2 linked regions of the Danio rerio genome follow. The protein of the gene in region 2 interacts with the protein of the main gene of each other region in a biochemical or structural test. Links are inferred from orthologs where the notes say so. Each region holds a gene or a part of one and is shown on either strand. Other genes may lie near its edges.

Region 1 (4,271 bases), on a different chromosome or scaffold from region 2:
CTTAGCTTAAAGTTCCTCATTAGCAGGAGTCCAAAGTCTCTACATTTTTCCTGAAAGCGATCTCCGACGGTCAACTTTAATAACCGGTCTCCTCTATCCTCCAACCGGTGGAGTTCTTCCCGAACTTGTAAACAAGCCTCCGTCCGTCCACCCTCTCCAGAATCTCTCTCTTGTAGTAATACCTGTCAGAAAGAGCAAGAGTTTTGATTATTCTTCTGTCCCAGGCTCCACTGCCACAAACCCAGACTCCCCTATTGCTCCCAGGCTCCCCAGTGATTTTAGGATTGATTTATACCTCATGGCTCTGCTGAGCTTCTCGTAGGTCATGCTGCTGTTCTTCTTCTTCTGCCCCCAGAGCTGAGCAACAGCTTCAGACTTCAAGAACTTGAAGACGCCGTCCCTGCGGTCCTCCCACTTCATCAGCCCCTGGTTCTGCTCCGGGTGGATCAGGATATCCCGGATGAACTCCCACAGGTGGGTTCCTCTTGGAGCTTTGGGGGAACAGTGGAGTCTAGTTTAGTACACTGCATATGTGTGCATCAGGAGCCTCTAAAGGCAGAGCTCTGCGTACTCACCATGTTTGCTTTTCTTGGACTGAATGAAGTGATCAAATCCGTCACTATCCCTGAGCTTGGGAGGTCGTCCTCTGCCTCTCTTGGTCTTTTCTGGCTCTTGTTTTGAAAAGTTCTCTGTGGAAAGCAGACAATACAACTGAATGTCAGAGGTTTGTGTTTTGGGGTCATCCAGGGAACTCCCTTATTATTATGCTGCCCTAAAAGGAGCAGTATCTACACATTTGGTCAATATTGAGGTGTAAATCTACGTATATTAACTACAGAATCTGATCTGTTGTCAAAGCTTTGTGTTTGCGTAGATACTGTCCTCTGTAGGGCAGTATACTCGAGGAGCATCTTCCTGCAGAGTTTAGTTTCAGCCTGTGTGATTGTCAGGTAGTCCTGACGACACATGTCGGCCTATTCAGGTGAAACTCTGCAGGTAGATCGCCATGCAGGAGTGAGGTGGAGCAACTGTAGACGAGTGAGAGGAACTTACTGGAGCTGATGGAGTAAGGAGTCTCCGAGTATTCAGGGTCAGAATCACTGCTGTTGGACTCAGGTGAGCTCGGGTTCAGGAAGCTGCCTACACAGGACAAACCGAAGTACATGTTCAATAATGTTCGTTCACAGAGCGCCCTTGACCTGAGTTGTTTAGGTTTTAGTGGGGATTCTTACCAGCATGGGAACTCTGAAAGCTCTCCGTGAGAGAGTCGTAGCCGTGGTCACTCTCTGGGGTCAGCTGGCTGGTGTACTCATCGAAGTAGCTGTATTTGGCGTCTGAATTGTCTGCAACAAACAATTTTAAATGTTACTCCCAGTAGGGATAGACCTGCTCTCTGGGGGTTTTTTGTCTTGAGTGGGATTTGCGGCTCACCTGTTGGAATTGTAGACTGGACCACCACAGTTTCCAGCAGAGGCCCCAGGCCTGGTCCATGCATGGAGGGAAATGAGTTCTGCAGGATGTTGTCTAGTAGCTCAAACTCGGATTCGCTCAGGACGGTGTTCTCAGATAGGTCATTAACTAGGGATGCAACAAAAAGATTGTTAATGCATGCAGCCACCAAAAATCAGAACAGTTTACATCCTTAAGAGCGTTTGTGGATAAATTCAAAGCTGAAGTAGTTCAAGAGTGCATTACAGCTGCATATCACCCCGCTGAATGAGTTCAATCACAACTACCACAGTCAAAAATCACAACAAAACACAGCAGCAGGAGGAGATGTGGAGGACACTAGTGCTACACACAGGAGATGATTAAGGACAAAACAATGAATCCCTAACAGATGCTTTTACATTGATTCCAGGGCATTGAATTCTTAGTAAATCATGAGGTTTAACGGCCACATCAGCACCTCAGGTGTGTGTTACTTCCAAATAGTTCAACATCAATTACTAAACAGCAAGTTTATCTACAACAGTTACTCACCATATCTCGCCTTCAGGCTCTCCAGACTGTGGTGTAGCAGATTGCCCAACTCCGGCCCGAACATGCTCATCAGCGCTTCCTTGGATGTTGCGCAAAGTGTGAGCCCATCCATGGTGCAGTAGTTCAGATTCAGCAAGCCGGCGTCGAATCTGCTCTCCTCCACGTGAAAGCCGATCCACTCCAGAACGTTCTGCCTGCTCCACATCTGCGGGTTCACCTGGTCCCAGGAGCCTGCCGGAGAACGGGAGCACATTTAGCCTCAATCACACCTGACATGACGAGACGCCTCTAACAATAGAAGAATAGCCGCTCAGGTTTACTGTCTCCAGGGCCGCAGCTTCTGTTGTGTGTTTAACTATCGGTTGTGTTGACACCCTGCAGGTTTTGATCGCATTGTCAACAATGGCTGAAAGAGCCTAACGAAAGCATTCCTGCACGTCTGCTGCGGGCCCGAGTTAAACATTGCCTGGGTTAATTATTCACGAGGTCAGACTGAGGGATTATCAGCATGTCTGAACTCTCGTTTAGGTGATGGGAAACATCCCTGGCGAGGATGAGAGCCGTTATTGAGTGAGCAGGAGTGCACTCTTACCTAATGTGCTGTTGCTGTTGAAGGTGATCTCGGAGAGATGCGGTGGTCTGCACATGCTCAACAGGCTGGCCTGCGGCTCAGGGTACAGGTTGGCATTGGCGTTGTTGAGAATTAGACTAAGTTCGCTTGACGCCATGAGGATCCTGCGTGATGGAAAGCAACGCCAATTTAGAATTCAGAAATACACGTGTTTTTGTGTAGAAATATGATTTAAAATGCTGATTAGTTACCAGTTGTGGTGGTCAAAGATTGTTTTCCAGGTAAAATCCCAGTGTGAGAGCTGCGTCAGTAATAATCCAGTCAGTGAGAGATCTGCTTTAGCATTGAGCGTTCTGCTGCACCTGCTCCTCGTGTATTTATAGGGCTGAAATGGGCACGGCCAGGTATGGAATCGGGGGCGGGGCCAGGTGAGCACAGTCTCAGGGAGGGGGAATTCCAGCGAATGTCTCTCTCTCTCTCGCTCTACCACTCACGCCTCGGGTTTTTTTCCTCAGAATGGCTCTTCAGACCTTGAAACATGAACTTGAAACTTGACAAGGCAGCTAACATCAACCCAGAGATAAATACCAGCAAATAGTATACCACTGACACATTTACCATGAGAGTTCACACACACACACACACACACACACACACACACACACACACACTACGCATACTCCATTTCTTTTTCTTTCTCACAGACACACACCTGACATAAACCCCCAATACACACACACACACACACACACACACACACACATACACAAACACACACTCCCCCCAAACACAGACACACTGAACACCACACACATACACACACAAACACACACATACACACACACACACACACACACCTTACATAAACCCCCCAATACACACACACATACATGCACACACACACACACACACACACACAATCTTCCCAAACACAGACACACTGTACACCACACACACACAATCACAAACACACACACACACACACACACACAACTCATATGCACATGACAACACAAACACGCAATCACAAACACACTCACAGCCAACCCCAAAACATACACACACACACACACACAATCTTCCCAAACACAGACACACACTGCACACCACACACATACACACACAATCATTAACACACACACACACACACACAATCTTCCCAAACACAGACACACACTGCACACCACACACATACACACACAATCATTAACACACACACACACACACACACACACACACACACACACACAACTCATATGCACATACCAACACAAACACGCAATCACAAACACACGCACAGCCCACCCCAAAACATACACACACACACACACACACATACACACACACACATACACCCGCACACACACACACACACATACACACACATACACACACACTCTTCATATACACCCACCCCCCCTTCTTTCGCTCGCTCACACACACACACATACACACACACCTCATGCACATCCCAACACACACACATGCAATCACACTCACACACCTCAAGTACACCCACTCAACCCACACACCACCCCCCCCCCCAAACACACACACACTGCACACCAGACACACACTCACACCAACCATGCACACACACCTCACACCACCTATATTACACACACTCTTTCTGTCACACACACAGCACACCACACAAACACACGCTTCACACATGCACACAGCCCCTCCAAACACACATACACACACCTCACATCAC
Region 2 (3,614 bases):
GATGAAAAACTAACTTAAAATTATGACAAAAAGACTAAGTCGAAATCTAATTACTAAATCAAAAGTATGAGATAAAGTTCAAATCAAGTGTATAATTCAAAATCAGGATTTACTGACTTATCAGGACACAAATGTGTATAATGACAGGGGTATGACACCGGTATTGCAAAAATGTGGTGAACCGTGAGTACATTGCTGATGTCCTCATTTCTCCAAAAGCTTCTAAATCACAGAGACTGAGTGTTTTTCAGAAAGTAAATCTGTCTACAGTTTCCTGTGAGGGTTGGGTTTGGTGGTAGGGTGGGGTTAGAGCGATACAAAATACAGTTTGTTCATTAAAAAAACAATCTAAACCTATGTAAGGTCCCCACAATTCACAAAGATAAACCTGTATGCGTCTTTCTTACAGGTCAGCTTCTGCCGAATGTGTTCAAGTCTCACGCGTGGGGGATTCTGCACACACTGCTGGAGATGTTCAGCTACCGCATGCACCACATTCAGCCTCATTACCGCGTGCAGCTCCTGTCCCATCTGCACTCGCTCGCCGCTGTCCCACAGACCAATCAGAACCAGCTGCACCTCTGGTTAGACTCCGCCCACACACACTGTTCAACTTAACTGATAACTGTTTAACTTCACTGTTAGTTTCCACTTCATGCCATTAATGATCGACAAGTGTTATACAGTTGAAGTCGAAACTATTTGCCCTCCTGTGAATAAAAAAAAAACTATATTTATGTATTAATAATCCATAATGATTTACAGAGTCTCTCTCTCAATTCAATTCAATAATTGCTTTATTGGCATGACAATTGTTAAAAATGTATTGTCAAAGCAGTTATACAATTTACATAAAAGTAGCATGCATATATATTAAAAAAAGAACAGTACACACAGTCAATAGTAGTGGTAAAAAATAAATAAAAAAAGATGATATTTATATATAATAATTAAATAAAATATCAACAATAAATCATATTATTCAATATATCACATTAATATTCAACTCTTTCTCTCTGTGTGTGTGCGTGTGTGCGTGTGTGTGCGTGTGTCTGTCTGTCTGTCTGTCTGTCTGTCTGTCTGTCTGTCTGTCTGTCTGTCTGTCTGTCTCTTGACAGTGTTGAAAGCACAGCTCTGCGCCTGATCACGGCTCTGGGTAGTTCCGAGGTTCAGCCTCAGTTCACACGGTTCCTCAACGACCCAAAAACAGTGCTGTCGGCCGAGTCTGAGGAGCTAAACCGAGCACTCATCCTCACACTGGCCCGGGCCACTCACGTCACAGGTACGCACACACATTTCATTCACACACACTTACGACTAATTTTTTTTTTACATTGTAAATGCGTAGTCCTGAATATAGTCAGATCTGTTTGTATGTCTCTGCCTGTGTCTGTCGGTCTGTCTCTCTGTTTGTGTGTGCATGCAGATTTCTTTACAGGCTCGGACTCGATTCAGGGCACTTGGTGTAAAGACATCCTGCAGACCATCATGAACTTCACACCTCATAACTGGGCCTCTCACACTCTTAGCTGTTTCCCTGCTCCACTGCAGGTACACACACACACACACATGCACGCTCAAGCATTACACACATGCGCACATAAACACATTTACACTGGCACATACTCTCATACAAACACACACATTCTCTGGCTCTCTGCAACTCTCACATGGTCGCACACTAAAGCTAAGCAGGGCTGCGCCCGGTCAGTACCTGGATGGGAGACTGCATGGGAAAGCTAGGTTGCTGCTGGAAGTGGTGTTAGAGAGACCAGCAGGGGGCGCCTAACCTGTGGTTTATCTGGTTTCTAACGCCCCAGTATAGTGAAGGGGACTCTATACTGCTCAGTGAGCGCCGTGTTTTGGATGAGATGTTAAACCGAGGTCCCAACTCTCTGTGGTCATTAAAAATCACCGGATGTCCTTTGCAAAAGTGTAGGGGTTTAACCCCGGCATCCAGGCCAAATTTGCCCTCTGGCCTCTGTCCATCCTGGCTTCCTTACCCTCCCATTATCATAATAGGCTTCATCACCCTCTCCACCAATCAGCTGGTGTGTAGTGTACATATAGTAGGGATGTAACGGTACCAGAATTTCACGGTACGGTAATACCTCGGTATGAATGTCACGGTACGGTATTTATTGAATCATTTACAGGAAAAAACAAAACTTATGAAAATACTCCAAAAAAGTGCGTAACGTTGTGCATTGTCTTTCCCCCACTTGAGAGGACAAGCCATGAGTGAGATAGAGGTCTCATGTCTGTATCAATCTGAATAGTGTGCTGTGTCACACCCTCCGTCCCGCCCTTCAGTAGGCACGCGACAACACCGCTCTTGAGTATGCGCGCTCAACCCCCCTCCCCGCTTTACAGTACGCGCGCGACAACACAGCTGATCAGAACGCGCGCAACAACACCGGTATTTTCTACGCGCGCGACAACACAGCTGATCAGAACGCGCGCGACAACACAGCTGATCAGAACGCGCGCAACAACACCGGTATTTTCTACGCGTGCGACAACACAGCTGATCAGAACGCGCGCGACAACACAGCTGATCAGAACGCGCGCGACAACACAGCTGATCAGAACGCGCGCGACAACACAGCTGATCAGAACGCGCGCGACAACACAGCTGATCAGAACGCGCGCGACAACACAGCTGATCAGAACGCGCGCGACAACACAGCTGATCAGAACGCGCGCGACAACACAGCTGATCAGAACGCGCGCGACAACACAGCTGATCAGAACGCGCGCGACAACACAGCTGATCAGAAGGCGCGCGACAACACAGCTGATCAGAAGGCGCGCGACAACACAGCTGATCAGAAGGCGCGCGACAACACAGCTGATCAGAACGCGCGCGACAACACAGCTGATCAGAACGCGCGACAACACAGCTGATCAGAACGCGCGACAACACAGCTGATCAGAACGCGCGCGACAACACAGCTGATCAGAACGCGCGCGACAACACAGCTGATCAGAACGCGCGCGACAACACAGCTGATCAGAACGCGCGCGACAACACAGCTGATCAGAAGGCGCGCGACAACACAGCTGATCAGAAGGCGCGCGACAACACAGCTGATCAGAAGGCGCGCGACAACACAGTTGATCAGAACGCGCGCGACAACACAGCTGATCAGAACGCGCGCGACAACACAGCTGATCAGAACGCGCGCGACAACACAGCTGATCAGAACGCGCGCGACAACACAGCTGATCAGAACGCGCGCGACAACACAGCTGATCAGAACGCGCGCGACAACACAGCTGATCAGAACGCGCGCGACAACACAGCTGATCAGAACGCGCGCGACAACACAGCTGATCAGAACGCGCGCGACAACACAGCTGATCAGAACGCGCGCGACAACACAGCTGATCAGAACGCGCGCGACAACACAGCTGATCAGAACGCGCGCGACAACACAGCTGATCAGAACGCGCGCGACAACACAGCTGATCAGAACGCGCGCGACAACACAGCTGATCAGAACGCGCGCGACAACACAGCTGATCAGAACGCGCGCGACAACACAGCTGATCAGAACGCGCGCGACAACACAGCTGATCAGAACGCGCGCGACAACACAGCTGATCAGAAC

Evidence for each region.
Region 1: the proteins of med23 (region 2) and elf3 form a complex in vitro, tested with the Homo sapiens proteins (4 studies listed by BioGRID, with this or other methods). The link is inferred for Danio rerio from reciprocal best matches to the Homo sapiens genes MED23 and ELF3.

Annotation. Positions count from the first base shown.
Region 1 is NC_133197.1:678,288-682,558, reverse strand, and holds the start of elf3 (ETS-related transcription factor Elf-3), read right to left. Parts: upstream 2,907-4,271; 5' UTR 2,806-2,906; intron 2,719-2,805; 5' UTR 2,712-2,718; coding exon 2,576-2,711; intron 2,215-2,575; coding exon 1,984-2,214; intron 1,579-1,983; coding exon 1,432-1,578; intron 1,344-1,431; coding exon 1,233-1,343; intron 1,141-1,232; coding exon 1,054-1,140; intron 690-1,053; coding exon 576-689; intron 492-575; coding exon 296-491; intron 183-295; coding exon 77-182; 3' UTR 1-76. UniProt on the Homo sapiens protein: Transcriptional activator that binds and transactivates ETS sequences containing the consensus nucleotide core sequence GGA[AT]. Acts synergistically with POU2F3 to transactivate the SPRR2A promoter and with RUNX1 to transactivate the ANGPT1 promoter.
Region 2 is NC_133195.1:2,630,694-2,634,307, reverse strand, and holds part of med23 (mediator of RNA polymerase II transcription subunit 23), read left to right. Parts: intron 1-409; coding exon 410-584; intron 585-1,118; coding exon 1,119-1,282; intron 1,283-1,426; coding exon 1,427-1,551; intron 1,552-3,614. UniProt on the Homo sapiens protein: Required for transcriptional activation subsequent to the assembly of the pre-initiation complex. Component of the Mediator complex, a coactivator involved in the regulated transcription of nearly all RNA polymerase II-dependent genes.